4 linked regions of the Pelodiscus sinensis genome follow. The protein of the gene in region 3 interacts with the protein of the main gene of each other region in a pairwise test. Links are inferred from orthologs where the notes say so. Each region holds a gene or a part of one and is shown on either strand. Other genes may lie near its edges.

Evidence for each region.
Region 1: the proteins of SH3GLB1 (region 3) and SYNGR3 interact in binary tests that used the Homo sapiens proteins (3 or more experiments, as listed by UniProt). The link is inferred for Pelodiscus sinensis from reciprocal best matches to the Homo sapiens genes SH3GLB1 and SYNGR3.
Region 2: the proteins of SH3GLB1 (region 3) and SYP interact in binary tests that used the Homo sapiens proteins (3 or more experiments, as listed by UniProt). The link is inferred for Pelodiscus sinensis from reciprocal best matches to the Homo sapiens genes SH3GLB1 and SYP.
Region 4: the proteins of SH3GLB1 (region 3) and TPD52L2 interact in binary tests that used the Homo sapiens proteins (3 or more experiments, as listed by UniProt). The two-hybrid records come from large-scale screens. The link is inferred for Pelodiscus sinensis from reciprocal best matches to the Homo sapiens genes SH3GLB1 and TPD52L2.

Annotation. Positions count from the first base shown.
Region 1 is NC_134726.1:37,696,532-37,704,864, reverse strand, and holds the start of SYNGR3 (synaptogyrin-3), read right to left. Parts: upstream 3,080-8,333; 5' UTR 2,858-3,079; coding exon 2,759-2,857; intron 1-2,758. UniProt on the Homo sapiens protein: May play a role in regulated exocytosis. May indirectly regulate the activity of the plasma membrane dopamine transporter SLC6A3 and thereby regulate dopamine transport back from the synaptic cleft into the presynaptic terminal.
Region 2 is NW_027466045.1:74,785-82,750, forward strand, and holds the start of SYP (synaptophysin), read right to left. Parts: upstream 3,318-7,966; 5' UTR 3,231-3,317; coding exon 3,213-3,230; intron 1,302-3,212; coding exon 1,236-1,301; intron 1-1,235.
Region 3 is NC_134719.1:31,007,010-31,014,677, reverse strand, and holds the start of SH3GLB1 (endophilin-B1), read right to left. Parts: upstream 3,092-7,668; 5' UTR 2,912-3,091; coding exon 2,840-2,911; intron 1-2,839. UniProt on the Homo sapiens protein: May be required for normal outer mitochondrial membrane dynamics. Required for coatomer-mediated retrograde transport in certain cells. May recruit other proteins to membranes with high curvature. May promote membrane fusion.
Region 4 is NC_134728.1:3,880,048-3,887,826, reverse strand, and holds the start of TPD52L2 (tumor protein D54), read right to left. Parts: upstream 3,254-7,779; 5' UTR 3,117-3,253; intron 1,996-3,116; 5' UTR 1,887-1,995; coding exon 1,805-1,886; intron 1-1,804. Other genes in the region: ABHD16B, read right to left, coding at 3,670-5,016.

The sequences.
Region 1 (8,333 bases), on a different chromosome or scaffold from region 3:
GGGGAAGTTGGGGCTGATTCCTCTCCCGCAAGAGCGAGGCTGGAGGTAGGGCTGGGTCTCCCTCTGGGACGGGGAGAATCAGCCCCCAGCCTTCCCCCGGCCGGTTGGAGTATTGGGGAGGGAGGCTCAGGCATCACACGGCTCCCGCTTTCCCCCAGCTGGCCAGAGCACGCATATTTGGGGGACCACGGTGGGGGGGTTTTGCACCCTCGCTGTCCACATTTAAAAAAAAAAAAGCACCCCCCCTCACCCCAAAGAAACTCCTGCATACGGGCCTGTGCGTGTGCTTAAATGTAAGCACACAAACAGACTAAAAGAACATGGGGCTACTTACAGGCATAGAAGTGATCGGATGTGGGAGAACGGGCAATTTCAGGCCCTTTATTCTCACTTTGGGACCAGTCCCTTGTGGTTTTAAATTCCCCAAAGATTCCTTCTTGACCACTCATCCACTAAGCATGCGTGGGAACTTTTCCTGAGCTGGTTTTTAATGCCATCGTGTGGATTCTGTTCCTGTTTCACAGAGGCACCCATCTTCCATGCTTCATAAGCCGCACGTCACGGCCACGCACTGCGTCCATCCGAAGAAAAGAACCACAACTGGATTTGACATTTTGGGCCCAGTTTTGTGCACACTGTATCCCATTCAGATGCTCTCTCCAACAGGGCCGGCGTGAGACGTGGGCAGTCAGCTCCCGCACATGTGGCCCCGCACTTTATGTTTGGCCCTGCCCTAGGCACTATTCTCATGTACTGGAGATGGAGGCCATTTATTTTATTACATATTTAAACACCCACGATTAAAAATTCAAATTATATTAAAAATACCTATGGACCTACATTAGTTTTGTAGGGGTAAGACGTGCCTGAGGACATACACAATATAGGTCGAAATACGTACGTCCATTTTAAACCCAGCGCGATCGCAAAGTCCATCCCGCGCGCGCTGCAGTATAAAATACAGAGATACACTCAGGCCTCACGCACAGCGGGCTAACGGCCGTATTGACAATTTGGAGTGGGGTTCATGACGTTTTGCCATTTAAAAAAAGAACATATTTTTTTGCACCACCAGATATCTTACTATATCTATCTCTAGCTAGTGGAACATAGCCTATTTGTGTGTGTGTGTGTGTGTGTGTGTGTGTGTGTGTGTGTGTGTGTGTGTGTGTACACAAAAATAGGTGTGTGTGTGTGTGTGTGTGTGTGTACACACAAAAATAGGTCACACTCCTGCTCCATATATCTGAACTAGGCCCCGCAAATAATCGTGCCCGTCCTGTTCTCAAAGCACGGGCGAATGAGTTATAGGCCTGACCCAGCAAAGCCCTCAAGCACCTGACTTCAACAGTTTTATTCTTGTACTTAAAGATAAGCGTACACTTAAATGCTTTGCTGGATCAGGGCCCAGGACAGGGGCAACTGGTAGTAAAGCCTCGAGAATGAAGAATAAAGCTGGGGAGAGGGGGCAGTGAAAGGTAGAAAGAAGGAGGTTTTTAATTGGCCACTGCACTTAAAATAGCTTTGACAGTGCATTTCCTGCCCTGAAAAGGTGACACAGTGACTGCTCTGGAGTCTGAAGGCCTCAAGCCACAGAACAAGTTGGAAATCCTCAGAACAGTCAGGGGAACAGCAATGCAAACTTCCCCCGCACACCTCTGCATCTCATCCTGAACCTAAAGGAACCCTCTCTGCCTCTAACTGGGAAAAGGAGTCCACCGCCCCGCTCAATCCCTGGCCTTTCTGCGAAGGCTGCCTGCTCAGGGGGTTGGCCAGGGGACCCGCATGAGCACCCCGTTAGTGGTGATTTTTGTGATGTGGGCTTTTGGCTCAGGTCTTGTGGGAGAAGGCATGAAGCTCCCAACTCACCAAAGAGCTGTCAGCACAGACCTGCAGGTCTCAGCACATAAAACCCGAGGCTAACCAGGCGCGTTATGGGTGGAGCGTGGGCCTTAACCCTTGCATCTGTCGGCCTAATCTACGGAGGCAAAGCTCCTTACATAGCGTTCCATGTCACTGCCCACAGAACACCAAAGATCAAAGCCACCCTAAAGCAGGCACCCGGAAAACGGATTCAGTCTTACGCTTTCGGCGCAGCCACAGGAATTGAAAATAAAATTAAAATAAACCCCAGCCAGCCAGCCAGCCAACCCTTCTATCATTTTGCATTAAGGACAGGGATCTCGGTAGGGCTGGATGGTGAAGTCTAGAAGAAAAATGTCTCCTGGCCACCTATTTCCACCGGATTTTCCTGCTCCCCCTCCCATCTGTTTGAGCATCAGAAAAGACAAGAGACCGCGAAAAATGACCCCTCTCCAGTGGCAAAATAAAGCCCTGAAAATGCCCTCCCTTTTTGGAGGAAGCAAAGACTTCCACCCCCCCAGGGGGGCAGAGGTGGTCTTTCCACTCTGCAAATAATCACCATAATGCAGCCCCCCCTCCCAGCAGTTGGGGCTATGGCTCCTGTCATTTGGACGGAATGACAGCCCCCACTGGGCAGAGAAAATGGTTTAGCCCCCCCCCCTTCCCCCCAGTGCTGCGCCCATTCCCTCTCCCTCTTGCATGGCCGAAATAAAACAAGCCACCCGCCCCAAATGCAAACCACCCCGCAGCCGCGCGCCCCCAGGTATGTCTGGCGAATGCTCCCCCCTCCCCCGTTGCATGGCAAGGCTGGAGGGGGCAAGGAAGGGGAGCAGCCCCCCCCCAGCAGGGACCGCCCCGAGCCATGCCCGCTGCAAACGCCGCCGCGCTGCCTTACCCAGGACACTATCCGGAGAATGGCCTGAGGCTGCTTGAGGAAATCCACCGGGTCAATGGCCCCCCCGGCCCGGCCCGCGCCGAAGGACGCTCCTTCCATCTTCCCCAGGCGGGCTGCGGCGTCGCCTCTCGGGCTCCGGGCTGTGCAGCAGCAGCAGCGCCCCAGCGGGCGCGCGCCGGCAGGGAGTGGGGGAGGCTCGCGCCGCTGCCTGCCCGCCCGGGTGCCCGCGTCTCGCGCACAAGCCCCCTGGCGCGGCTGGTGCAGCCGGAGCCCGCCTCGCTGCCGCTGACCCCCTGTTCCTGGCCGCGTGGGCTCGTCTGGTTTCGTCTGTGTGTTAGGGAGTGGGCGGTACCATGGAGGAAGGGCGGGGGGGGGAGGGAAGAGGCGAAAAGGCTGGGTGAGCATACAGGTGCATCCTCCTTGCACCCGGATCGCTTTCGATTTTTGTTCACACCTTGTCTTGCCTGAGTACGCCGGCTCCGGCATTGCGCTTTGCATAGGAGGCTGTTTGGTGTTCTGGGTGCTTCAGGCTGCATGCCCTGCAAATAGCCTGCTGCTTTTCTGCCTCCCCTTACTGCAGGGGGGCTACGCCCCCCCCTTGAAAGGGCAGTTAGGCTAGTTTAGGAGATGCACGGGGGGGGGGGGGGGCGAGGCAGAGGGGCAAAAAAGTAACCTTGCAGGTAGGGAAAAGCAGCACCCCCCACCCCCACACACTCAGCCCATCCCCTTGCAAATATGCTTCCTGGTTTCTTGAACGCTCCCCCCACCTTCTCCCCCTCTCCCCCACAGGGGCCCAGTCCTACACAACTGCAGCTCCAGCCCAAGCATCTGTCCTCCCTCTCTCAGGCAGCTCAGACAGGAGAGCCTCCCACAGAGCTACCCCTGACTAGACAGCCGCCTGACCCCAGTTGCAGCGGGTGGCCGGCGGAAAAGAAGGGAAGACAGGAATCTAAGGAGCAAGGATGTAGCCTATGCTGGGAGAAGGTATTCCTCATCCTCCCACCCCTGCCATTAAGTGAAAGACCCCATCCAAAGAGGCGGGACCCTTGTTTTATATCTAAGGGGAGCAGATGCAAAGCAAAAGGTGGTGGTGTCAGCCCTGGAGTAGTGACGGGTGCATTTGCTGGCTTTTGACCAGTAGAACCCTGTGTCTTTGCTAGAGGCATGGGAGCTAGTCACTAGACTACCGTGTACCTGTTATTTGGCCTAAAAATAGGAAGTGAAAGGCAGTTGGACTGTAGCTTGTGCTTTCTTCCTGCAGGAATTGAGAAACAACATCCTGCCACCCACAGATTCTGTTAGGCTGGAGGGAGCAACCTCTTCTCCTTCCCTCAGCTACTCCCCTCCATGAAAGGAGGAAGAAGAAAAAAGCAATCGGGTACAGGCCCTGTGGAGGGGAACCCCCATTGATTCCAAAGGGAGTTTCTCCCAGGAAGCGCCACATCCTTATTTAGTTTTCCTTTCACGGTGATGATGACGATTTCGGTTCCATAGATACCGATGCCATGACAACTCTGACATCATCACTTGGCTTGGGCCAGAAGCAGCAAAAGTAACCAAGAGGAGTCCACCTGCATTTTTGACCTGAATACATTTGTGGTCAGGAACCCTAGGGTTCTGTGGCTGACTCATCTTCTGATCCTGGGCAACCCACATCACCTCTCTGTGCCTCAGTTTCCCAGCCAGTGAAATGTGGGTAATACTACTGATCTACCCACAACATGCAGGTATATGAGAAATGCTTTGAGACCCTTGTGTACAAAATACCATAATAGTGCAAAGCATTACCTGTGTTCTATGCCAGCCCCACCTATCCAACCTGGGCCTTTGTATTAATCCACACCCTTTTCCTGGCAGATGGAGTCAGAAAAAGCTAACTTTTAAATACCATTCTGATGCCATTCACTTTTCTCAATTACAGGTGAGTCATCGTCTTTCCAGATCTATTTCTGACACTCAGCAGGAAGAGCAGGATTCAGCCTTTCATTCCTCAATGTCACCGGCACAATGAAAATCACATTTTACTATGTAAAAAATAAACGGCTATTAAGGGAATGTTGGGAGAGCACCTATCACTTCTGCTTTAGCTGGATGTGTCACTCCACTCGTACAGAAATAGTCAGCAAAGTGCCTAGAGGGGTGAGGATTATAATCCCAACCCAGAGCCTGCAGACTGGCCAGGCAGGATCGTTATTTTCAATGTCACCACAGGTGGGGATACTCAAATGGGTGCAAGGGATTTAGGAACACACTGCTTTCCATGGGAGTTGTGTGCTCCTAAATCACTTGAGTGCTTTTGGAAATCCCAATCTCAACCCTATGCATTCAGTGACATGTATGAATGTAGGGTCTGATGCTGCTTCACTTAAGAGTCATAATAATAATAATGGAGATTGCCTATCTCCTAGAACTGGAAGGGACCTTGAAAGGTCATCAAGTCCAGTCCCCTGCCTTTATAGCAGGACCAAGTACCATCCCTGATGAATTTTTGCCCCAAATCCCTAAATGGTCTCTATAAGGATAGAACTCACAACCCTAGGTTTAGCAGGCCAAGGCTCAAACCACTGAGCTATCCCTCCCCCCTAACTCCCATTAACTTCAGTGGGGAAAGGATCCGGTACCCAGAAACCTCAAAAGGCAAAGATCCAGGACAAGTGCCAAAGGGAGAAGGTGGAAGACGGCTCAGGAAGATCTGTCAGACACTCCGGAGCCTTTTGCTTCTAGGACACTAGGCCGATTGGTTGTGGTCAAAGATTGCATCTGACTTCAGTGGGAAGGGACGACACTCAGTGCTTTACAGGCCAAGCCCTGTGTGACTTGATCTGTTGAGTTTCAATACATTTCTTGCTCTAGCACTGACTACAATATACCACCGAAAAGCCACACTCCACCACTCCCACACAGTAGCCCTGTTTGCAAAATAAAACCCTTTATTGTTTGACGTGCATATCCAGTAATGCATACAACACATGCACACAGAGTCAAAGATGAAGACAGACCTAAACACACATTTTAATTGACACATCAGTCACTCAGAGAGTGTATTAGCAGTCCCACAATTAAGGCTGCATCTGCCGTGAAAGCGGTTGATAAGAGCCAGGCAGATGGCAAGCTATACTGTACACACAGCGTTATCTGGAAACATGGTAGTCTTGTTGTTTCACAGCATTTCTCCCTTTGTCCTTTCTCTTACTGCAGAATTTACTGGGTGCAATGAGAAAACAAGGAAATTCATAATAAAAAATCCACACTTGGAGTGCCAATGAAGGTCGCTGACCTATAGCTAACGCCATGCACACAAGCATTCAGAACAGAGGAATGAACAGTTAAGGCCTCAGCAAATAAACTCCAAGCAGAAATCTCCTACTACATGCACCTCACAATGATTCCTAACATTCTGATTGCTTTTTTGACTGCTGCTGCACATGGAGTGGAGGCTTTCAGAGAACGATCCACAGTGACTCCAAGACCTCTCTCATGAGTGGTTATAGCTAATTTAGACCCAGCATTTGAGACGTCTAGAGGGGATTTACCCAGGAAGGTGTAGAGGAAACCCTGTTGAAGGTGGATCAGGAAGCAGCCCAGCGAAAGAGAAAAAGGGCTTAGAGATTGTGCAGACATGGCTGCTGATTTTAAAGTCCCAGGGCTGGAACCAGGAGTAGTGGGCAGGCCTGGGTTCTTCTACCAGTCACTAAGTGGCACAGGATTATGGGAGATGGCAACCAGACAGCTGGTGTGAAGGGACTTTGATACCCTGGAAAGGGTGTGTGTGTGGATTGTATAGTTACCTAGGGGGAGGGCTGAGTTAGAAAGAGAAAGCCTGCAGAGTCACAGAGAGAGAGAGGCTGTGAAGTGAACACATGATACAAGGGAGTGTCAGACCTGAGGAAATCCGATTCCTCAGATGCAGCCACGAGGAAGCACCACACCAGTGAGTATGCCTTGTGACAATGTGTTTATATGACATATTGTACACATGGGGGTGGGGGTGTTGCAAGCTACCCTTTTTATACACTGTGCAAAGTAGCCATTCCTTTATCTTAGATCAGATACTCCCTACGTTTTCACACTTTCCACTGAGTAAATGAAAATCAATGCATTTAGTTAGCCATTAATGAGAGACTACTCAAGTGAATGCTGACTAGGTTTATATTTGCATTCAGTGCTGGGTCGATAGTTTAAGAGGCATTTTCACGGATGTAGGTGAGAGGTAAGGAAGGTTGCCGTTTTTGTTTGCAGCTAGATGAGGGAGCGGTGCTTGCAGAATCGGAAGGTGTGCTGGAAGATTGAGATTTTCATCTGGAGGTTGCTTTCTGGTGATGTAACTTTCCTTATTTTACTATTTTACATTTGTTAACAATTTGTATGTTCACACAATGTAGCTCTTATTTACGAATGTACACTTACGATCCACTACCCTCAGTATAGTGATGCGAGCAGTCACAAATGGGTGAGATCAATACTAGAATAGCTTTTAATATGACCGAAGACTGTCCCCCAAATGGCATTCTGCCCTGATAATTATCTTTGTCTACTATATATTTAAGAGAATTTGTCTGTCTGTCCATCTGTTCAAGAAGTCCTCCTAAACAGTCAGAGCTAGAGCCACAAAATGCGGCACACAGCTTCCTGTTGTCCTAACTTAAAGAAAGGTCAGGGTTTGGTTGTGCCAGAAAAAGGAGATGTGCCTGGAATAGGATTGCTTCTCATTAAACCATACAGAAAAGAGACAGGACCCCCAGGCAGGTGAAAGAGGCTGGCTGGGCGCAACTCCCCTTCCCCAATCTGGGTAGGGTTACCAGGGGTCCGGTTTTGAACCAGACAGTCAGTCCAGTATTTGAGCTTTCTGTTCAGGAAACAAATTGAGAAAATATCAATGAGAAAATATCAACGTCCGGTATTTTCTGAATAAGACGCACTGTAGATTGTGATGTAACGTCAAGTGTGTCCAGGATTTTTGTTGAAACCACCTGGCAACCCGAAATCTGGGACTGCCCAGCCTCGACCCTGCCACTCCTCGGGTGCCCCTTAGGGAGGATGGGAGGTGTCATAAATAGGAGCTTCTAAGGAGACTCTGACTTACCTGAAGAGAGAGGAAAGGATTAAGCAACTGGAGATGCACCTAGGGAGGGGGTTTGGGCAGTCAGCCAATAAAAATGCAGATAGGAATTTCAAACCGGGAAAAAGGGGGGTTTCTTTCTCTCTTCTTTGTTTGAGATCAGGGTACGTCTACACTAGCCTCCTAGTTCGAACTAGGGAGGCTAATGAGGGCGACCGAAATTGCTAAGGAAGCGGAGGATTTAAATATCCCGCTCTTGATTAGCATATTCCTGGCCGGTTGCCATTTTGGAAACTGACTAGCCTGAAGTAATTGCCTGCATCTACACACGGTAGAGAAGTGCGATTCCGAGATAAAACCCTTAGTTCAAATTAACTGTTAAACCTCATTCCACAAGGAGTAACTGTTAATTCGAACTAAGGGGTTTATCTAGGAATCGCACTTCTCTGCCGGGTATAGACGCTGGCAGTTACTTTGGGCTAGTCAGTTTCCAAAATGGCGATCAGCCGGGAATAT
Region 2 (7,966 bases), on a different chromosome or scaffold from region 3:
CCTTCCACAACCAGCTGGGTACATGGGTCTAGAACGTGACAAAAATGTCCCGCTAATCGATCTGGAATCACTCCAGAACCAGCAGGAGGGGGGGGGGTCTGGAACTGCTCCAGAACCAGCAGGATGGGAGGAGACTGGAATTGCTCCAGAACCAGCAGGAGGGGGAGGGGAGTCTGGAAGTGCTCCAGAACCAGCGGGGGGGAGTCTGGAATTGCTCCAGAACCAGTAGGAGGGGGAATGGAGTCTGGAAGTGCTCTAGAACCAGCAGGAGGGGGAGGGGAGTCTGGAATTGCTCCAGAGCCAGCAGGAGGGGGAGAGGAGTCTGGAAGTGCTCCAGAACCAGCGGGGGGGGGGAGTCTGGAATTGCTCCAGAACCAGTAGGAGGGGGAGGGGAGTCTGGAAGTGCTCCAGAACCAGTAGGAGGGGGAAGGGAGTCTGGAATTGCTCCAGAACCAGCAGGAGGGGGAGGGAAGTCTGGAAGTGCTCTAGAACCAGCAGGAGGGGGAGGGGAGTCTGGAAGTGCTCTAGAACCAGCAGGAGGGGGAGGGGAGTCTGGAAGAGCTCTAGAACCAGCAGGAGGGGGAGGGGAGTCTGGAAGTGCTCTAGAACCAGCAGGAGGGGGAGGGGAGTCTGGAAGTGCTCTAGAACCAGCAGGAGGAGGAGGGGAGTCTGGAAGTGCTCTAGAACCAGCAGGAGGAGGAGGGAGTCTGGAAGTGCTCTAGAACCAGCAGGAGGAGGAGGGGAATCTGGAAGTGCTCTAGAACCAGCAGGAGGAGGAGGGGAGTCTGGAAGTGCTCTAGAACCAGCAGGAGGAGGAGGGAGTCTGGAAGTGCTCTAGAACCAGCAGCAGGAGGAGGGGAGTCTGGAAGTGCTCTAGAACCAGCAGGAGGAGGAGGGGAGTCTGGAAGTGCTCTAGAACCAGCAGGAGGAGGAGGGGAGTCTGGAAGTGCTCTAGAACCAGCAGGAGGAGGAGGGGAGTCTGGAAGTGCTCCAGAACTAGCAGCAGGGGCCTGGAAGTGTCTCGCTGTCTGATCTCCCCAGGAGTGCCGGGCAAGCAGGCTGTGATAACCCCTTGTTCATCCGTCCCCTTCCCACACCCCACAGCCCCTCCCTCACCATCCTGCTCCTCAGGTGGGGCGGGGCACAGGGCCTTTCCCCAGGCCTAGGCCAGCTCAGAGGCCGTGCAAACAGGAGTCCTCCGCCCCAGGGCCTGGGGCCGGCCACGGGGCACTCACCCATTCCAGCAGCTTCAGAAACCCCAGCGGCTCCTTCAGGGTCCGGAACTGCCCCCCTGCCACGAGCTGGGAACCCAGGCGGAGGCGGAGACAGAGGGGGCAGGGCGGGACGGATATTAAAACAGCTGCCATCTCCCTTACGCCCAGCCCGCCCCCCCCCGACCAGGGAGAGAACTCAGGAGCCCTGGCTCCCAGCCCCCCCAACCACTAGTCCCCACTGCCCTCCCCGAGCCAGGGAGAGAACCCAGGAGTCCTGGCTCCCAGCCCCCCCCAAACCACTAGTCCCCACTGCCCTCCCCGAGCCAGGGAGAGAACCCAGGAGTCCTGGCTCCCAGCCCCCCCCCACTCTAACCGCTAGTCCCCACTGCCCTCCCTGAGCCAGGGAGAGAACCCAGGAGCCCTGGCTCCCAGCCCCCCCCAACCACTAGTCCCCACTGCCCTCCCCGAGCCAGGGAGAGAACCCAGGAGTCCTGGCTCCCAGCTCCCCCCACTCTAACCGCTAGTCCCCACTGCCCTCCCCGAGCCAGGGAGAGAACCCAGGAGTCCTGGCTCCCAGCCCCCCCCACTCTAACCGCTAGTCCCCACTGCCCTCCCTGAGCCAGGGAGAGAACCCAGGAGTCCTGGCTCCCAGCCCCCCCCCACTCTAACCGCTAGTCCCCACTGCCCTCCCCGAGCCAGGGAGAGAACCCAGGAGTCCTGGCCACCAGACCCCACTGCCCATGCTGGGGAGAAAACCCATCTCAAGACGGTTCCTCCCACGGCTCCCTACGGGGAATAACCATACGGGAAAGGCCTCAGTGCGCTCAGCCCCCCCAGGCCGGCCCCCCCTGCTGGGGGCAGGTCCATGTTAACCTCGATTCATAAGCAGCCCCCCCACCTGAATCCCTCAACCCCGCCTGCCCAATGGGGGGGTCTTTGCTGCATTCCCCCCCCCTGCTGCAGCTGGGGGAATATTCTGCCCCCCAGGTTGTATCCACCCAACCCCTGTGGCCCTATGTTCACCCCCAAACTCGCTATCCCGAGTTAAACCCCCCCGCGACCCCCCCGGTCTGCACCCTCCTATTCCTCCAGCCAAGACATCCTGCACCCAAGGGTTCCCTGCCCCCCCAAGCCCGGCTCTGCAGCAGCAGCTGGTGGGAGAATAGTCTCACCCCCTCCCTGCGTGAGCCCCACAACCCCCCCCCCCCGCACCCGAGCGCTACGGCAGGCAATGAATTCACTGCAGCAGGTCAGCCATCTTCCTTCCCCGCCCCCACCCCTGCTGCAAAGGGAGGGGGGTGTCATCCTCCCCCCCACTCCAACATATCTGGTAACATCCCCCCAGCGCCACCGCCGAGCCTCCCTCCACACGGCCAGCCCATCGCCCCCCCTTCTGCAGCACGGGAATAGCCGAGCTCCAGAACCCCCCCATGCCCTGCAATCCCAGACCCACTGCAGTCTGCCTGCATTCAAGCTGGGCCCCCCCTAATGTCAGATCCCTGCATCCTCCCCCATCTGTGCCCACCACGCACCCATCTTGGACTCGCCCCCCCTTGCAGCAGGGAGCTACCCTGTCCCCTAGCGCCCCCCCCACCAAACAGCCTGCAATTCCCACCCAACTGCAAGCTACCTACACCCAACCTGCCCCCCCCGAATCATTTTCAGCCCCCCCCCCCATCTGCAGCCGGGGAAGATGCTACCCCCGATAACCTCAGCGCGTCCCATCCAGCCCCTCTGTGCCCCCCACGCACCCAGCTCAGATTTGCCCCCCGTCTGCAGCAAATACCCTGCCCCCCCCCGCTTGCCCCCTCCCCCCGGATTCGCAGGGCGCTGCCTTTGGACGTAACCGCTCCAGCTGCTGCTGCAAAACACCAGCCCAGGGGAGGTGCGGGGGGGTTTGCCTGGGGGGGGAGCCGACAGTCCCGTGCCCCCCCCCCCCTCTGGAATCCCCGCTCGCCCCGATCGCTGTCTATGGTGCTGAGCTAGCCAGGTGCGTACCTGATTGAGGACTTCCATCTTGGAGCTGTCTGGAGACAGGCGGAGGGAGGGGGGCAGGGCTAGATCCGGAACAGCCTCCGGCGGGGGTCAGCCGCAGGAGGGAAGAGCTAGAGGTGACGTCACGAGGGGGGACTGTCACTCCCCGGCAAAGGGAGCGGGGGATGGAGGGTGGCGGGTTCGAATCCCGGTGTCGGGGGTGAGGTGGGTCGGGAGCCAGGACTCCTCGGTTCTCTCCCTGGGCCAGGGAGGGGAGACTAGTGGTTAGAGTGAGAGGGAGGGGACCCAGGATCCCTAGGTTCTCTCCCTGGGTCTGGGAAGGGAGGGGAGACTAGTGGTTAGAGTAGGAGGGAGGGGACCCAGGATTCCTGGGTTCTCTCCCTGGTTTGGGGAGGGGAGTGGTGGCTAGAGGCGGAGGGGCGGGGCTGAGAACCTGGCTTCCCTCCGTGGGTCTGGGAGGGGAGTGGGGGCTAGTGGTTGGAGTGGAGCTGGGAGCCAGGAGTCCTGGGTTCTATTGCTGGCATCTGGGTTGATGCAACTTCTGTACTGCGCCTCTAGGTACTTCCCCCATCCCGCTACCGGGGGGGGGGGGGTTCTCTGACACTCCAGTTTCTCCCCCGGTGCAGCCCCCCAGTCCCATGGAGAACAGAGAATAGAATTCATGAGGGACATAGCCCTGCAACTCTCCCCCCCCCCCATTGGGGGGCAGGGCTTCAGCTAGGAGGCACCCTTGGCCCCGCCCCCTCCCTGCAGGTGTGGAGGGCAGGAGGTAGATCAGCCCGTGGCCAAGTGCATCCCAGCCCCCCTGTTGGGGGGCAGAGCCAGGACCCCAAAAGCCAGGGCCCAGGGACGCAGGAAGATGGACTAGGGGGAGGAAGGAGAAAACCAGCAGATCAGGGCAAAGACCAAAGAGCTGGGTGGTGGGAAAGTGCAGGGAGGAGAGAAGAGAGGGACACGGGCAGAGATGAATGGAGGGAAAAATGAACGGAAGGCAGGAACCCAGCAGCGAGGCAGAGCATCCCAAGGGCTGGCTGGAGGGTGGGTGGGTGGACGATGGGTGTGGAGATGGATGGATGGAGGGTGGGGGTGCACGGAGGGAGGGAGGGAGGAACCCAGCAGCGGGGCAGAGCATCCCAAGGGCTGGCTGGAGGGTGGGGGTGGGGGTCCACGGAGGGAGGGACCCAGCGGAGGGGCAGAGCATCCCAAGGGCTGGCTGGAGGGTGGGGGTGGGGGTGCACGGAGGGAGGGACCCAGCGGAGGGGCAGAGCATCCCAAGGGCTGGCTGGAGGGTGGGTGGATGGATGGATGGAGGGTGGGGGTGGGGGTGCACAGAGGGAGGGACCCAGCGGAGGGGCAGAGCATCCCAAGGGCTGGCTGGAGGGTGGATGGATGGAGGGTGGGGGTGGGGGTGCACGGAGGGAGGGAGGGAGGGACCCAGCGGAGGGGCAGAACGTCCCAAGGGCTGGACGGAATCGTAGGATCCCGGAACTGGAAGGGACCGCGAGGGTCATCGAGTCCAGTCCCTGACCCCATGGCAGGACCCCGCATGGTCTAGCCCATCCCTGATGGACGTTTATCCAACCTGCTCTTCAATGTCTCCAGAGATGGGGATTCCACAACCTCCCTGTGCAATGGATCCCAGCGTGTCACCCCCTGCCAGGCAGGAGGATTTTCCTAAGGTCCAACTTAAACGCCCCTGGCTGCAATTCAAGCCCCTTGCTCCTTGTCCCGTCCTCAGAGGCCAGGGGAACAAGTTTTCTCCCTCCTCCTTGTGACACCCTTTTAGATACCTGAAAAGCCTCACTCATGTCCCCCTCAGTCCTCTCCTTTCCAAACTGCCCAAGCCCCGTTCTTTGTCTGCCCGCCCAGCTCCTGTTCCCTAGACCGGCCATCAGTCTTGCTGCTCTTCTCTGGACCTTCTCCAATGTCTCCCCATCTTCCTTGAAGCGTGGTGCCCAGAACTGGCCACAATCCCCCAGCGGAGGCCTGACCAGCGCAGAGCAGAGCAGAGCGGGAGAACGACTCCTCCTGTCTTGCTCCCCACACTCCTGTCGGTGCCTCCCAGGATCACGTTTGCTGTTTTTGCAACAGCGTCGCCCTTTTGATTCGTTTTTAGCGTGTGGCCCACTCGGCCCCTAGAAAGGAAGGACGGTGGGTGTGAGATGGATGGTGGGGGATGGAGGGAGGGAGGCAGGAGCCCAGCTGAGGGACAGAGCATCCCAAGGGATGGACGGGCGGGCAAAGGACAGACTGAGTGAATGGAAGAAGGGTGAGTGCACAGGGAAGGGGAGCAGACGAGGGGAAGGCAGGAGGGAGGTGAAAAGCAGCAAGAATATGGAGGAGGCACGAATGGGGAAGGGAAGAACAGAAGGAAAGGGGGTGGGGGGGAGAAGGGGAGTGTGAACCCAGGCGTCCGGGTCAAACCCCAAGGACCAGAGCCATAAGGGAGGGGGAAGAAAAACCTGGCAGCTGGAGAGGGCACTGGACAAAAAACCCCAGATGTGACCCCTACCCAGCTCCCCCTTCGGGATAGGTGGGGGGTGCTGCCCTGCGGATTGGAAGTGAACCCGAGCCCCACTCCGCCCCCCAACGGACAGGATGTGAACCCAGGTGTCTGGGCTGGCTCCCAGTTTGGGGCCCTGCAGTTTGCAGGAGGCGTCCCCGTGTGGCGTTCTGTGTGGCTGTTCCCAGCTGCCCTGCTCCAGAGGTGGCTGCATCTCAGCCCCAGGTGAGCCCGGCCTGTGAGCTACCTCCCAGTCCTCCTCAATCTAACTACTAGACCCCACTGCCTTGCCAGAGCTGGGGAGAGAACCCAGGCGTCCTGGCTCCTAGCTCTCTTGCTTTTCCCTCAGTGGCTCAGGGAGGAATCACCATGGAGCCCCCACCCCACAGCTGCCCCCAGGGGTCACCTCAGCCAGCCTGTTCAGCTGCCAGGCCTCTCTGGCTGGGGAGAGAGGGGAGGGGTCAGATTCACGCCCCTCAGCCCGGGACCATCCCTCTGCCCCCCAGATCTGACCCACAGGTCCATCCAGTCCAGGTAACACCCTGTGCCCCTCCCATACATGCCCCCTTGCGAGGCCTCTGCCCTGACCCCAAAGTGCCGCCTGCCCTCCACTCTGACCCCACCTTGCCCCCATCCGCAGGGCGAAGGGCTGGGAGGCGGGGTTCACCCGTGTCCCTGCCCCCCCCCCCCGGAGGAAATGATCCAGACCCGAGTTTGCCAGGTCCCAGCCCCGTCCCTCGGCACCCCCAGACCCCAGGCAGCAGCGAGGTGGGAGGGATTTGGGGGAGCCAAGCCCTTCCCCCGACTGGCTCCTCTTCACCCATCTCCTGCCCCACTTCAGCCCCAGCCCCTCCCATCCAGCCTGTTTCCCCTCATCTCCGGAGCCCCTCCCCCTCCGCAGTCCCACTGGGGATGTTAGCGATCGGCCTTTTAAACAATTGCCCAGCAAGCCGCTTATCGGTTCATCCAGAGAACGACATGCACCTCCCCCCTACTGCCTCCATATCAGAGGCAGCATCGCAGGGGCAGGCAGGAAGCAGCTTTCAAGCCAGCTCCCCAATCCGATCGCTTTCTTCAATGGGATCGCGAGTCCTGTGGAGAAGGGAGCCGCGGTGGCCGTGGGATACCCAGACTTTAGCAACGCATTTCACACAGTCCGACCTTCTTAGCAATAAACTCGGGCAATACAACCTAAATGGGGCTACTCTAAGGCGGGGGCATAACGGGCTGGAGAACCGTTCTCAGAGAGTCGTTATTAACGGTTCATAATCCTGCTGGCAGGGCAGAACAAGGGGGGTCCCCAGGGGTCTGTTTTGGGACCAGTTCTGTTCGATATCTTCACCAATGATTTAGATATTGGCACAGAGCGGACGCTTATTAAGTTTGAAGATGATACAAAACTGGGAGGGGTTGCCAGTGGTTTGGAGGAGAGGATTATAATTCAAATTAATCTGGGCAAACTGGAGAAATGGTCGGAGGTCAATAGGATGAAGTTTAATGCAAAGTGCTCCACTTAGGAAGGAACAATCCGTGTCCCACACACAGAACGGGATGCGACTGTCTGGGAAGGAGTCCTGCAGAAAGGGATCTAGGGGTCAGAGTGAACCACATGCTAACTATGAGTCAGCAGCGTGACAGGGGGGCTGTGTCTACATTGGCACCCTTTTCCGGAAAAGGGATGCTAATGAGACACTTCGGAATTGCAAATGCCGCAGGGGATTTAAATATCCCCCGTGGCATTTGCATGAACATGGCTGCCGCTTTTTTCCGGCTCGGGGCTTTGCTGGAGAAAAGCGCCAGTCTAGACGGGATCTTTCGGAAAATAAAGCCTTTTCCGGAAGATCCCTTATTCCTCTTAAAATCAGGAATCAGGGATCTTCTGGAAAAGGCTTTATTTTCCGAAAGATCCCGTCTAGACTGGCGCTTTTCTCCGGCAAAGCCCCGAGCCGGAAAAAAGCGGCAGCCATTTGCAATTCTGATTTGTCTCATTAGCATCCCTTTTCCGGAAAAGGGTGCCAATGTAGACACAGCCGGTATGTCTACACTGCAGAGTTGTTCCAGAAAAACTACACTTACATCCACACTGCAATTGCGTTCTTTTGACAGAAAGTCGAAAGAATGCAGGGGGTCTTTCTGACATTGGTAAACCACTTTCTATGAAGAAGAAGCCTTTTTCTGAAAGAGCTCTTTCGGGAAAAGGCGTGTGGACAGGAAAGAGGAGGTTTTTTTCGAAAGAAGAGGAGGCTTCCTGGAA
Region 3 (7,668 bases):
ACAAGGTAAAATTTTCATAAGCACCCAAATAAAGAGGGCTTGGGTTAGGGTGACCATCCATCCTGTTTTTAACAGGACAGTCCCCTATTTAGGCCCTCTTGCAGGTGTCCCACTTTTTTTTTTTTTTAAAAGGTGGGCTGTCAAGCATTTTCTGCTCCAGCACACCCCTGCTGGTCAGTCAGCATCAGAACAGTCACAGCAACCTTCTGCTTGTGGCTGGCAGGTGAATGCAGTCAGGCAGGCAGGGGCCAGCAGGTGGTGCGCTTAAGCAGGGTGCAGAGGCAGAAAGACAGGAAGCCAGTAGAAGGAACCTGTGTGTGATAGATGGTGAGGGAGTGAGTGAGGGGTGTATCACCCTTCCCCATGTGCAACCTAAAGCAGGGTTTCTCAAGTGGGGAGGAGGAGGAGTCTGCCAGTTAAGCCCCAATCTCAGGCATCTGCTGCAGGACTGAAATCTTGATCTCTGATGACCCCTCTTGCACTGAATTAGCCCAAGCCCTAATCTGCAATGCCCCAGTGAATTCTCAGCACCTCCCCAAACTGAAGCCACAATCCTTGCCTCCTTCCACTCCCCAAACCATGAGTGGTAGGGCTAAAGCTGAGAGCAGCAGGATTGAGTCCTGCATGCCCAGTGCTCCCTGTAAGGGGAGAAGCATCCAGAACCTGTTGGCAGAATTGTGGGGCTCTCTAGCACACACAGTACAGTACCTGGGAGAGCTCCACAGCTCTCTTCCCCCACCCCCACCAAGTTAGAGAAGAAACCCAATCCACAGGGCAGCTAGTGGTGCTCCCTCTTCTGCTGCTGCAGGGGGCTCAATCTGCCCCTCAGCTCCCAGCCCCCTTTGTTCACATAGCCAGTAAGAGTGGGCAAGTGGCAGCTGGTCAGGGAGAGCAGATGTGGGCCTCAGGGTAGGTAGAGAGGTGGTCACAAGTCGCAGGGCTGAAGATGCCATCCCCAGTACACCACTTCCCCCGGGCTGAAAATCCAATCCCTGGTGTCTCTTCTCCTTCCCACCAATGCAACTGGGATCTCTGGGGCTCAATGTCAAAGCCCTGGCAGCCCCTACAAGGCTGAAAGCAGGAACCGAGAGGGTGAAGCCCCAAACCCTGGTCCTGTTTGCACTGAAGCCAGGAGTGGCAGGGCTGAATCCCAGATTCCTGGTGCTCCCCCATGCGGCAGAAGCTCCCAAACCCATAGGCAGAGGTGGGAGGTGCTGGGGATGTAGTCCCCAAGTTTCAGTGGAAGTTAGTACTGAAGACAGACTCATCGCTTCTCTGCCCCCACCATTTGGCCAGTTTGGAGGCAGGAAGCCAAAGCTGGGTAGTGTGAGGCAGCTGCTCCTGTGGCTGGTACAATGGCGCAGTCAGCCACGTGTTCCCGTCCCTCCTGCTACAGAGGGTTAAAGCTGCTCCTCAGCTCCCTGTCCTCTTTTCTCACACAGTTGGTATGAACCATGGGGAAGGGAGGGGAGAGAAGGGAAGACCGGGCTCCGTGCCTGGTCAGTGTCCCATATTCACAATAGAGAAATGTGGTCACCCTAGCTTGGGTGCTCTTGAAAAGATAATGCACCTTCTCGTGGAACTATTTATTCATGAACAAATTCATAGCTAGACTTCTCTGCATCCCAATTTTTAAGCAAGTCCAAAACCTGAAAGCAACTCACCAAAAATATACCCTGCCCTCCGCCCCACATGAGCTGCTACACTCGCCTTGGGAATAGATTTGCTGTAAGAATGGTTACCTAATACAAGAGAAGTAAGACCCTCTTCCCCCTGTCCCCCTACCACAGGGCTAAGGAACAGGAGCCAGTTACAAAGTGCCCTTAGCATTAAAAAGTTGAGAGCAGTTTGGAGACAGAAGACTACTAAGAAAGTTTTTAAAGCAATATCAAAATCTACCAGTATCTCCTTAGAGAGAGATTGAATCATTAAAAAAAGATGTCCAGCTAGGTTCATAAGTCATGCCAGCTGCTAAAGGTACACTACCCATGTTAGTTTGTTTCACATGATACTTTTTTCTCATTGGTGGACATTTATCTTAATGTTTCAGACCCCTGCCCTAAACAGTTAAGGGGTCACATGTGAATACATTGTACAACATTGTGTAAGCCTCAGTTGCTCTATCTAGATAGAGGACTTACTGCCCTGCCCCATTGCCACAGCATCCCCACTCCTCCTTCCCTCTCATGCCTGCAGGTTGGGGTTCCCCAACTCCCTGAAGCGCCCAAGGGCAGGGTGTGAAGGCACATGGCCCAAACAGAAAGTTCTTCCAGCCCTAGGACTCTATGATGAAAATAAAAGGGTGCACCCTAGCGCACAGCTCTGGCACGAATGGGCTGTGCTGTGCAAAAGCCAGGAGGGAGCTGTTTAAAGAGCTGGCAGGGCCGGTTACCATAGGCCAGTACCTGTAAGAAATGGAGGCCGCTTTCACCCCTGGGCGCGAGAGAGGGCTCACACCTGGGGCGCGAGAGGAAGGCAAGAGACGCTCGTTTCGAACCAGCGTCTCAATACGGAACTGGCACCAGCCAGGGCTCATTGTACGCCCGGAGTCACAACCCCACCCCCGCTCGGGACAGCCCTGCCCCAGCTCACAGAGCGCCCCGCTGGGGTTACCGCGGGCCGGGGTGCGACCCCCCCCCCCCCACCGTGCCGGGACGTGGGGCCCAGCTGAGGGGCCGGTTGAGGAGCCGGGCTGAGCGCGAGCGCGGACCAACGCCCCAGCCGCCGGGCCCCGCAGCGGCCACCCAGCACCAGGCCGCAGCCTCCAGCGCCGCTGCCACAGGCAGTGCCCGGGCCCGCCCCGCGGCGGCGGGTGTCGGCGCGGCCCGGCTGCCGGTACCTGCACTGCGCGGCTCAGGAAGGTGCCCGCGTCGGCGGCGAATTTCTTCACATTGAAATCCATAACGTTCATCCTCGGGAGCCGCCGCCGCGGCCGGGAAAGGGGGCGGGGGCGAGTCCCGACACCAGCAGCCGCGGCCTTTCCTTGGGGGAGGCGACGGGAGCTCCCGGCCCGGCTCACAGGAACCCGGCAGCCGATAGGGCGCAGGGCGCGGCGTCAGGCCCAAGGCGCCGCCCGCGTTACCGCCCCCTGGCCCGAGGGGCTGGGGCACGGCGACGCCTTAAAGGGGCCGCCCCCGCCTCAGGGATCCGCGGCGGGGGGAGCAGAATCTGTCCTGCCTGGGACGCGCCTCAGCAGGGCTGGGACTAGGCGCTATAAGCAATCCTGGCAGGAGGGTCTGGTCCTTCGGAGGCGCACACAGTGGCGGGGCTAGCCTTAGTGGCGCTCAGCTTCATTTGGGGGGCTCCCCCCTGGGACCCAGCCAAGAAAAAGAACATCGCCCTGCCCCTCACATTTTTCATTCCTTTTTTCCTTCACCCTCCTCCTATTTACACAAGTAACAAGGAGTAGATGAAAATAAAGTGAGGTATCTTGATTGTTTGGGTTGTTTTTCACAGGCCAATTGAAAAGTGCTGAGGATCTCAGCAGACCACTTAATGATCTTTTCAAATATTGTTTGTACCATTAGCTAATTATGGTAAAATGTGTTGGCTAAGAGCCCTTTATGGGGGGGGGGGACCCAAAAATCTTTCCTACGTCCACCTGAATGGAGTTATCAGACCTACTTTGAGGACTTCTGGTCTAGGTGAAAGCTTGTATTTCCATTAAGCCAACATGAAAAATGTGAAAAGAATAAAATGCATAGATGATGAATGAATGGAAAAATAAAAGTTAACTTCCTCTGAAGAAACTTATTCAATTTGAAAAAAATGTTGTTAGCTTCCTTTCTATGCTTTTTCTTTACAAAATCATCAATTAAGTCATAATATTTTGTAGAAAGGCACTTTCAATTGTCGATATTGCTGAAATTGTCAATTTTTTTCCCTGCTCTCTTCTTCCTCACACAGGCCACTCTGTAGAGGGACTTAGCCCCTTCCTCCCCATAGAGTGGCTTCCCCCTATGCAGGAGATGGGAGGGGAGGTGTTGCCGGACCAAGTGCTGAACTGCCCAGCCCTGGGGGGCCTCATGTCGTTGGGGGGCCCCATGCCAGGATATGGTATGTTTCATTGTAAATCTTCCCCTGGGCTCACAGATGGACATTAAAAACAGCCTGTGGCACCTTAGAGACTAACAAAAGAATATATAGAATGTTGAGTTTCTGTGGGTAAAACCCACTTCATCAGATGAATTAGAGTGGAAATATATATAGTGTATATATTCTGTTACTTCCACTTTAATTCATCTGATGAAGTGGGTTTTATATATATAACGGAAGAAGACTGTCAATTATTTATAGGGCCCTAAATGAGACTAATTAAGTGGAACGGATGTGTCCCATTGATAGCTTGTGATGTGAAAATGTATATGTTAGAGGCAAGAGAAATTGTCTTTGTCATTATTTCAGTTTTCTACTCATCACCCATCCAGAGCTCATCCAAGATTTCACCACTTCAGATGGCTTGCAGAGTGCTCAAATGTGTTCTACTCAATATGAGAGGCAAAGGGGGTGAGATAATATTGTTTAATGGACCAACTTTTGTTGACAAGTTTTCAAGCTCCACAAAGGCATATATTTTCTGAATGGGAGAGATTAACCTCTCCCTTAGCCCTTTGTAAAATCCACTGTTTTATATTGGTCAAATGTTGTTATTTAACTTCCAAGAGAGTAGTAGCAGGATAATTCATGACAAGGTAAATTGCAAAAAGGCCATGAGAAGGGACTGTTCTCTGCAGTCTTTTGATATAAATAAGGAAATTTAGACTTATAGACATACACCAAAAAAGTAGCTATCAATACACTCTAGGTGATAGCATGTAATTTTAAAATACAACATTAAAGTCCACATTGTATAACTAAAGTGCAGTAATTAATGCAAATAAAACTCACTATCAATAAATCAAGACAATTATAAGCACAAATTATTCTCCCATTTCAAAACATTTCCACTGTTTAAAACACCTTCCTCCCACCCACTCCTGGCAATATTCAAATACTTGGAGAAAAATGAAATGTACTCATACAGATTAGTTAGGTATTGACCACTATGTGATATGACCTGTGGCATAAATAGCAATTTGGTATTTTTTTTAGTTGGAAAATAACTTTGGAAACATGCTGTATTTAAGGCACTTACCCATCCACAGCAACAATAATTAGCTAAACTGTTTTGCCTTTCCTTTACATATGGACAGAGAGATTCTAGGGCAGTAGGACAGGAAGCAAAATCCAAGAGGAAGTAACCAAAACAATCAACTTAGTCTTGTTTACATTCTTCAATAGTGGAAAGCAGGGGAGGGGAAAACAAACAAACAAAAAAATTCTGCAAAACAGTTATTATTCATGACAGGGTCTGAAAGCTGTTGTGTAGTATACATGCAATTGCTCTGCTTGAATGAGATTTGCCATTCTTTACCTTTTTCTTTAGCAAGTTTAAATATCTTTGTGTTATACTGCTTTCAAATTTTTTTTTCTACTGTTGATTTAGCTTCAGTTTGCTGGAAGTATTTTTAATAATGTAATGTGTTCTTGGTTCATGATTCTCTTTCAACCTCTGTAGACTATAATATCTTGAAAGTTGAGGAACCATGGTTCTAAACCTTGTGCTGTTACCCTGAGCCTTTCTGAAAGGCAGTTAGACTAAAGTTCTCAATCTTACAGATCAAGCCACTTATATCTCTACATATGTATTAAATAGCAAATTTTATGTACCAGTGTTTGAAAGATGAGATTTAAACACCCACGCTATGGCTACACTACAAGCTTTTTCCAGAAGAGGAAATGCAAATGGAGTGCTCATTTGCATATGTCATGCTCTCATTTGCATTTTCTCTTCAATCCTTTTTGTGGAAGAGGTTTTTGCACAAAAAAGCACTGTGTAGATGGCACCTTTTTCCGCAAGAGCCCTTCTTCCTCATTTTTTTATCTTATATTTTTTTATCTGAAGAAGGGCTCTTGCACAAAAGGTGCCACCTACACAGCGCTTTTTTGTGCAAAAAGCTCTTCCACAAAAAGGATAGGAAGAGAAAATTTAAATGAGAGTGCAACATATGCAAATGAGTGCTCCATTTGTATTTCCTTTTCCGGAAAAAGCTTGTAGTGTAGCTGTAGCCTCAGTTAACATGGAAGTTGAAAGTAACAGATCTATGGATAGCAATCACGAAGGCTACAATTTAGTTATGAAAAACTTTAAAAAACCCAACAAATAGTTCTGCAGCATCTTAGGGTATGTCTACACTAGCTCATTAATTTGAGCTAGGTAGGCAAATCAAGCAACCGGAGTTGCAAATGAAGCCCGGGATTGGTAGTACTGTCAGCTCCCACTGATTCTGGAACTGCTGCTCAAGCAGTCCCCGTGGCTAGCCATGTTGCCTGCTGCTCAGGCAGTCCCTAGGTATAGTGCCTGGATCCACCCATGCAATGGCCATTGTAGCTGGGCCTGGGTCTGCTCCTAGCAGCTCCAGTGTGCCTGGATGCTGGGCCACCCAAGCAACTGGCTGCAGATCCACTGCAGCAGGGGCCAGTGTGGCTAGCCTCTGGACCACCTGATCAGCAATCCCTGAGGCCATCTGCTTGAGCATCACCTACCGCTCCAGAAATCATAGAAGTTGTGGAAAGTCATGGAATCCATGATCTCTGTGACAGATACGGAGCCTTAGCAAGTGCTACACTGATTGAAACTAGCCTCTTGTAATCAGCTCAGTATTCAAGTTATCTCCTCCAACTCTAACACCTGACTTCTCCAAGAAGAAACTGCATTTCTTGTCTCATTCCAGGGAAGGGCAGATTGAGATTTATTGGGGTCTGCACACAAAGAACATTTTATAAAAAAGAGAAGAAATCCAGTGATATGCGCAAAGATCAAACTCTGTACATTAACATAGTATATTAGTATAGGCCTTGTGCCTAAGTGTATCTCTGCACATATATGAAGTCCTGTTGAAATCAGGGCTCTGAATGGGCCTGCGATCCACCTGCACAGAGCTCAATTCAGGCTCAAAGATTTAAAGAAGAACAAATAACTTTAGATTATTATGCCTGTTAGTATAAAGGAAAACAATTCCAGTATAAATGGAGAACATTAGGAAGAACTTTTTGAGGCTTTCATAAACTTAAAGTGATGGCATCTGTTTAAAGTTTGAAAAACACAAAGGACTAGATTAAAAATCGAATGCTTCTAGAAACAGATTTATTTGCATTTAAAGCAAGTGTCATGGATGGCATACTTAAGGTGCTACTTTAAGGTCTACATTTTGGTGTTCAAAAACCAGCAAAGCACAGAGAAGTGTGCATAGATAGAAAGAGGTTTGAGTGTCAGTAGTGTATAAAGGAAAATGCCTTCAGGTATAAGATGGTAGGCTTAATGGTTGGTGTGTCTCCTAGTGATTAATACATTGGACTGGGACTCAAGAAACTTGGGTCTATTCTTGGTTCTGACACTGACCTCCTGGGTGACCATGGGAAAGTCACTTCACCTTTCTTCCTCAGTTTCTGCTGTAAAATGGGGATATAGTTACTAACCTGCTTTGTAAAGTGTATTAAGATCTATGAATAAAAATCATTATACAAAAGCTATTATTGCAAGGGTGTGTGGGGATTATGTTTAGAAGCACTTTCTCCTGCTATGCAAAAATGTGTGGCACTCTCTTAGCCCATTGCTGGCAGAGGTGG
Region 4 (7,779 bases), on a different chromosome or scaffold from region 3:
CCTCCAGGCAGCCCGTTTCAGAAGCATTAGGTCACTCTCGTCACCACCACCACAGCCCAGCTCACCCCACCCCGTCCCTGAGTTCCCCTTTGAATGCTGTGGCATTTGTCATCCGTGTGGGCTTGTTGCCTTTTCTTTATTCCACAGCAGCCTGTGACATTTGCATCAGGTCTGGGCCCTGTTGTCTTTCAGTTCCCTGCGCATGGGGCCCTGAGCAGAGGATGTATAATTGGTAGATTTACTCCTACGCCCCCACGGGAGCGGTGTGTACTCTCCCCTTCCACATAGCTAATCCCCGGCACACACATGCACCCGCAGCGCTTCCCGACCGTGCTGCGTGCAGCTGGGAATGGAGAGAGGCAAGGCTTGAAGGGCAAAGGGAGCATCCTGTGGCTTTCAGAGAGGCAGGGGGATGCTAGCCTGAGTCCCATGGGCCGGCTGCACGTCTAGAGAAAGCTGGGGGCACTGCAGGGCAGCACACCTTGTGCCTGTCCAGCTCAGCCCGGGTGTGGCCACCAAACTTCCTTCCTCGTCAGATGGGAGATCTGTTTGGTTTCTGGCGGCAGCACATGAAACCCGCAGCCCTAGGAGTACGTGTGCGCTGCGGCTGTTTCTGCCATCTGCTTCAGGTCTCTGAAATCAGATGCCAGGGTTTGCCCAGGGCTCAGGCTCCTGTTGGCACCAGCTGCTTCCGGAACCTGGGACAAACCCTGAATCCACCCCCGGTGGGCACAAACACATCCAGTCTGTCATTTCTCAGGGGCTGATCTTTGCTCAGACTCCTCTAGTCTGTGGGGTCCCTTGGAATCAGAAATGAACTGGGCTCGGTGAGAGAAAATCCTGACCCACCAGCAATGCCCACCAAGCACCACTCGCCCCCTTCCCTTCCCCTCTGTGAGGACCCAACAAGGTCCCTGTAAAGACATCCTGGCCTGCACTCATACAAGCAAATAAAGCAAGTTGTGTCAGCTGACAGGGCCATACCACTGTTGCCTAGAACTGCACCTTTCCCCAGCATCTGACAATTAACTCCACATTCCTAAACCATCATTGTGAGGTGGGGAGGAAGGGTTATTAGCCCCACCTGGGATGGGGAAACTGAGGCACACAATGGGGAATGGCCGTATCTTCTCACTCACGCACAGTCCAGGGGAAGTGGTTGCATGTTGGGGAGAATGCACTCTCCTTATGAAGGCAACAGAGCCAGTCCCCAGCCACCACTAATATCTCTGTCTCTTTCCCCCAGGGGACGGTTTGGCTGGTAGATCTGCGCAGATCCTGTCTGCCACATTCCGGACCTGCTGCAGTCCTTATGTGGGCCACAGACCTTGGCCCTAAGTAACTTACCCAGCACTAGGAGCAGTCCCTGTCAATGTTCCCTCTAATCTTTTCCATCCATGCGCGGATGTTTTTCCATATATATATATATATATATGAACGGAATAAGTTTTGTTATGTGCACTGAGGAATGTGTGAATGTGCACCACCTGGAGAAACACAAACCTAGCTGTGAGAACTCTGCAAATCAGCTGGGCAGCACTGGAATTTCTCCTGAGCGGCCGCACAAGAGCACGGCTGACAGGGAACACTGGTCCCTGCCACTGTGGCCTGCTGTGCACTGTCCCCTAGGCCACTCTGCCTTTCACCCGCAGACTTCCCCACACCCTGCCCTCCTGCCAGGAACCCCAAATCACAGCTCTGACGCAAGTCACGCTCTTGTTACCCTCCCTTCCAGTGGTGCTTCCCTTCTGCTCCATGGCCCTGGCCTCTTCCATCTAACGCCCCAGCCTCTCTGGGGACTTACCGCCTCTGCTGCTCCTGCTGGTGGCAAGCGAACGCAGCTGCCGGCTGCTGCCCAGTGGGGGCAGGGGCGTGATCCCCCACATGAGAAGCTCTTGCACCCGGATTTCCCCCAGGAGAGGCACCAAGATGGGTTGGGGGCTCTAAGGAGTCGCCTGCTGCCTGTTCCCACGCCCGGGCTGCAGCACAAGGTTCCTGTAGTGAAAGCAAAGAAGTGGCAGGCTGCTCTGTCCCTGCGGCCTCTACCCCACCTCCATGCCAGCCAGCCCCATGGAGACTCACCATGCCCTTTGTGACAGCAGCAGCTCCTGTAAGGTGCCTCCTAACCTCACACCCTCCCTCACACCCTGTAGGGGCTGCCTGGTCGTGCCTGGCTGATTTCGCCCGGCCTGGTCTTAAAAAGTTAAATCCTCCCCCCATGTCCCTGAAACCTTCAGCCCTCCCTGGAGAGCCTTCCCAGTGGTCCCGGATCTCCCCATCTCTCCCCAGAGAGATTGTCTATGCCTCTCCTTCCGGAGAGAGTCTCTAATCCCCCTCGGTCACTGCTCACAGCCCAGTGCTGAGCACTGAAACTGACCCCACAGATGGCTTCTGAAAGCTTCCCCACCCCCACCCCCCGTGAATGCCGCACGCTGTCCCGCGCCAAAACTCCAGGAGGCACGAAGCCAATGGCGGGCCCCTGTATGAGGACGAGCCCGTCTCTTTCCCACTATACGAAACACTGACTAGCTAATTACCAAATCGGGTGCTTCGGCTGCAATGTGACGATGAACCGAGAACCAGTCCCACCATCTTGGGCGTCCTTACACCCCTCACCCCTGTGAAATCCACGTTTAAGGGTATGTCTAGACTACATGTCTCTGGCGACAGAGGCATGTAAATTAGATATACTGACATAGTCAATGAAGTGGGGATTTAAATATCCCCCTCTTCATTAGAATAAAAATGGCCACCACATTGTGCCAGCTCAGCTGTTTGTCGGCACGAACCGGCAGTCAAGACGGGGATCGGTCGACAAGGAAAGCCTTTGCTGACCGATCCCTTATGCCTCATGAAACGAGGTTTACAGGATTGGTCGGCAAAGGCTTTCGTTGTCGACCGATCCCCGTCTTGACTGCCGGTTCGTGCCGACAAACAGCTGAGCCGGCACAACGTGGCGACCATTTTTATTCTAATGAAGTGGGGGATATATAAATCCCCACTTCACTGACTATGTCGGTATGTCTAATTTACATGCCTCTGTCGCCAGAGGCATGTAGTTTAGACATACCCTATGAGCAGCTGGTCTGCCTGCCATGTCCAGGCCGTTGACTCACCCAATGAGAGTGCAAAATGCAAATGAGAAGGTGGGGCGAAGAAGAAGGGTGGGGTGATGTACCTCTCCCAGGAGCCCGCATGCCCAGCGGGAGCAGGGGTTCGGGAGATGGAGGACACAGTGGGTGGGACGTTTCACCGCTATTGTCCCACCTCTCAGCACAGTGATGTCACAATCCCACCTCTCAGGTCCCTGAGTCACAGCTCAACAATGCCCTGGGCAGCAGCTGGGGGGGGGACACAAGATGGCCAGGTGGACGGGGTGAAAAACCAGCCAGCTTCTGCCCTTCCCTGGCCTGCCCCCCTTCCTGGGACCCAGTGGTATTTGCAAATCATTTTCAACGTCACGAATCTTTCAACCACTTTAATTTCCATCCATCCACTGCCCCCGGGGTGAAATAATGCTCCTTGGTGCTTGCAGAGCTCATCACTTCATCTTTACTGGGCGCTCAGATTGGGAACACACACCACGAGCGTACTGAAGAGGGAAACCCCGGCTTGTTAAGTCCAACCTCTCTCTCTCCCCCCTGGGGTAACCGTCCTACCCTTCCCCAGCTATAGCTTCCAGGGCATCTGGAACTCATCGGGCAGTAAGAGAGACCAGTGTGTGGCCTCCACATTTTTCATGTGCTTCCTGGCCAGAAACAAGGCCAGCTGCTGCTTTCTCCTGGGGGTCAAGTCCTTCCCGACCCTCCAGGGGAAGCTGTCTTCACCTCCGAGGCAGGATTTGTAGCTTTGCAACTTGCTGACACACCAGTCGTCCTCCACCTCGAAGCGCCTGCAGACGGCCTCTTCCTGCGTGGGGCTGACGGCTCGCAGCCAGTGACGGACCGCCGCCTCCCCTTCGCAGGACAGGACCTCAGGATAGCGGTGCCTCAGCAGCTGAAGGAGCAGCTCGTTGCTTCTGTTGGACCGGATGTCAGCGAGCTGGTCCGAGGTGCGGACGTGGGTGGTGGTGACTTCATCGTGGGTCCTCCGGATCAGCAGCACTGGCCCCGGGTAGCTGCAGAGCTGCTCGGCCACGTTGAGGTTGAAGTGCTGCCGCACCGTCTGGACCACCAGCTTGGTCCAGCTCTTAGGCATGACCTTCAGGGCCAGGGGGAGCAGGTCGTCGAAGGTGGCGTCCAGCATCAGGGCCCCCAGCTCTGGGTAAGTCTTGGCAGCCCAGGTGGCTGTGTAGCCACCCAGGGACCAGCCATAGAGGATGATGTCTTGCACCGGGAAACCCAGGCGGCAGGTGGCATACTGAATCACCACATCCATCGCGTTAGCGTCATTCTCCGGGAAGGGCAGGCCCGTGCTTCCAGCATAGCCCGGGTGGTTCCACCCCAGGACCGAGTAGCCGGCCTCCAGCGGGGTGGAGAGACAGCCCACTTCGTAGAAACCCACATTCCCCTCGCAGCAGATCACCAGCCGCTTCCCTCGCTGCTCCTCCTCCACTCCTGCGCTCTTCCTCCTGTCCACAAACATGGTGTCGATCTCGTTCCCGTCGCACGCCATCAGCTTGGCCCGCTTCCCGTGAAACTCCTCCAGCAGGCGAGCCTGCCCCTTCACCAGTAAAGGCAGCAGGGCTTTCTGCATGACGTACAGGGAGCCAGGATAAAGCAGCCACCGGCCTAAGGAGTGAGCCATGACGTAGCAGACCAGCCGGCTAGGCAACTGCCTCATCTTGCGGAGACAGCTACACTGAGCAGTGGTAGGCCTTCCGTGCGATGCTGATCTCAGCAGAGCCTCTTGGGCGGTGGTCTGGGACGCAGCCTTGTGGCCGGGGCTCCTCCCTGGGCAGCCGGCCTCATCCCATCGGAAGTCCACGGGCCAGCTCCTGAACTCAAAGTTGTAATTGGCCATCAGATATGTTTTGAACACATGGCCAAGAGCTTTGGTGAAGCATATCACACACATAGGGGGAGCGGAGGGCCTTGTCCATGCAAGAAAGAAATAGCAAGGGCACAGGGAAAGGGGCGCCACGAAAGCTAGCGCTCACAGGGCCAGTTCCCGCCACGGGCCTCCATTGGAGAGATTCCCTAGCAGACGTCAGCGGCAGCTCCACGTTAAATAGCTGGGTTACAGCTCCTCCGCCATGACAGGCCTCCTCTGTAAGCCCAGCGATGCCCCTGAGAAATGCAGAGGCACTTCCCCCAGGGTCTCCATAGGCCAGGTAAGCAAGGCAGCGTAATAATGAGTGGGGTCGACCTCCATTATGAGCATGCCCTTCACTGAGGGTGAGGCTCAGCCAGCAAGTGGCAAACCAGGGTGCAGTTATCACTGAACACCAGTAGGGGTCGTCTGAAGTAACTGCAGGTTGAACCTCTCTAGTCCGGCACCTTCTGGTCTGGCAACATCTGTGGTCCGGCATGATGTTAGTGAGCCGGATGTCCACTTATCGTGGGTGTAGCCAAGTTTCCTGTGGTCCCATAAAGTTCGTTAACAGCCACCAGTCCTGGCTTTCAGTGTTCTGTGTTGTTGTTTAGCTCTAATTGACCCCGAAGTGTCTTCTCAGAGCCCAGTAAGCAGTGGAAGTGTTGGTAATGCTGCTAGACAATAGGCGTGTGAAGGACTAGTCAATAAGTCGCTTCCTCCCTCCCCCCACCTGCCTGCCTCTATCAGATAGAAGTAGCAATGGGGGGAAGCGGAGGGGGTACTTCAAAGCAGCAGCGCTGCGTGGAGCCCAGGGCCATACCCCAGGCTCCATGCGACGCTGCCACTTTGAAATGCTGCATGCAGCCTGGGGCCAGCTGGGGTGTCCCCAAGCTGCATGCGGCGTTTCAAAGCAGCAACACCACGTGGAGCCTGGGATCAGCTGGGGACTCTCCCGCTGATCCTGTGCTCTGTGCCGCACTGCCCCTTTGAAACGCCGCGAGGAGCCTGGCGTCAGGCTCCATATAGCGCTTTCGCCCTAGGGCTGTTGCTATACTTCAAAGGCAGAGGCGCCCTCTCGACTAATCAAATAGTCCATGCAAAATGCTTCAACTATTCGATTAGTCAATTAGTCGATACTTAAACATCCTTATTAGACATTATTCAACTCCCGTGGTCCAGCAAATTCTCTAGTTTGGCGCTGGTCAGGTCCCAAGGGTGCCAGACTTGAGAGGTTCAACCCATTCTAGCTATCACAATAAAATACAAAACTGCCCCTCATACCTGCGGGCACCTCCCTTCTCTCCTCACATAGGGTGTGTCTAAACTACATGGCTCCATCGATGGACCCATGTAGATTAGGCTGATTGGCAAAGGGAAATGAAGCCTGGGAAATTTAAATGGCTGCCACGCTGAGCCGACAAACAGCCGATCAGCTGTTTGTCGGCTCAGCGCACTAGTCTGGACGCTCCTGCGCTGACCTGCAAGCCCTTTATCGACCTCCCCGTTATGCCTCATAGGATGAGGTTTACCAGGGAGGTCGATAAAGGGCTTTCATGTCAGCAGGGGAGCGTCCAGACTGCCCCAATCTGCCAACAAACAGCTGATCGGCAGAGCGTGGCAGCCATTTAAATTTAATTGAAGCCGCAATTATTTAAATCGCGGCTTCATTTCCCTTTGCCGAACAAACAAATCTACATGGCTCCGTCGACAGAGCCATGTAGTATAGATGTACCCATACTGCTCCCAGGGCAGATCTGAAACGTTTTAACAACAAAGCAAGCCCGTTATGTTTATGAACCATACCCTTTTCTTTGACCTCTAATAACCCTGTCGAGCATAAGCCAGCATCCACCTTCTGTGATCTCTGTTGTGCTGCCGCAGAGAATCCGTACACCTCTGTGCCTCGGTAAGGAAGATGTTCTTAGACTCAACAGGCAAACAAAAGTGAAATTAAAAGTGGATTTAAAAAAACGTTTATTGTTCCCCCCTCCACATAACTGCTCGTGTGCCCGCTGCTGTGATGTCCGTCTGCAGGCAAAGAGACAGCTCAGGGAAGAAAAGAAAAGGCCACTTTGGGAAGCTACCTTGTTATTTGTGCTCAGATAAAGAACTAGGTCCTCAGACTCGCAGATCACCCCCAGATCTCCCAAGACCAGGCCCTATGTTCAAGCAACACCACTGACATGCAGCCCTCTCTGGGGCGGTGATGACAATGGCTAGTGAGGGGGAGGAAAAATGTTCCTGGAACCCAGTACCAACTCCCACTGTTCGATTCTACGATACGGTTAAAGATCACAGTGAGCAAACCGGAGCTGGGTTTTTAATTGCTCATCCACCCGGGAACTCAATTTAGTTCCCCACGGAGGAGGGACTCCTCCTCATTACTGGTTCTAGGCGTGATGCTTAGAACGGTGTCACCTTGGGGCAAGAGGTGGAGCAGAGGTAACACCAGCTGGATCTATTGCAGGGCTGGGGAACTTTTGGGGGCCGTAGAAAAATCCATTGGGGGCTGCACTAAAGTGAGATGCAAAAAAAAATCATTGACGTGGCCCTGACTGAGAAACAGAAGGACCCTCTCCACGTTCCCCTTGCACACCAGAGCCCCGGGGGGGGGGGGGGACTAGTAGATTTTGTGGGTCCCTCGAGGCTCTGGAGTGGGGTCAAAAGGTTCAGTGTGTGGGAGGGGGCTGCCAGGAAGTGAGCTTAGAGTGTGGGCAAGAGGGAGGGTACAGGAGCCTCAGGGGCCGGATCCAGACAAGCCAGGGGTCTGATCCAGCCCCCGGGTCATATGTTCGCCACTTTGAT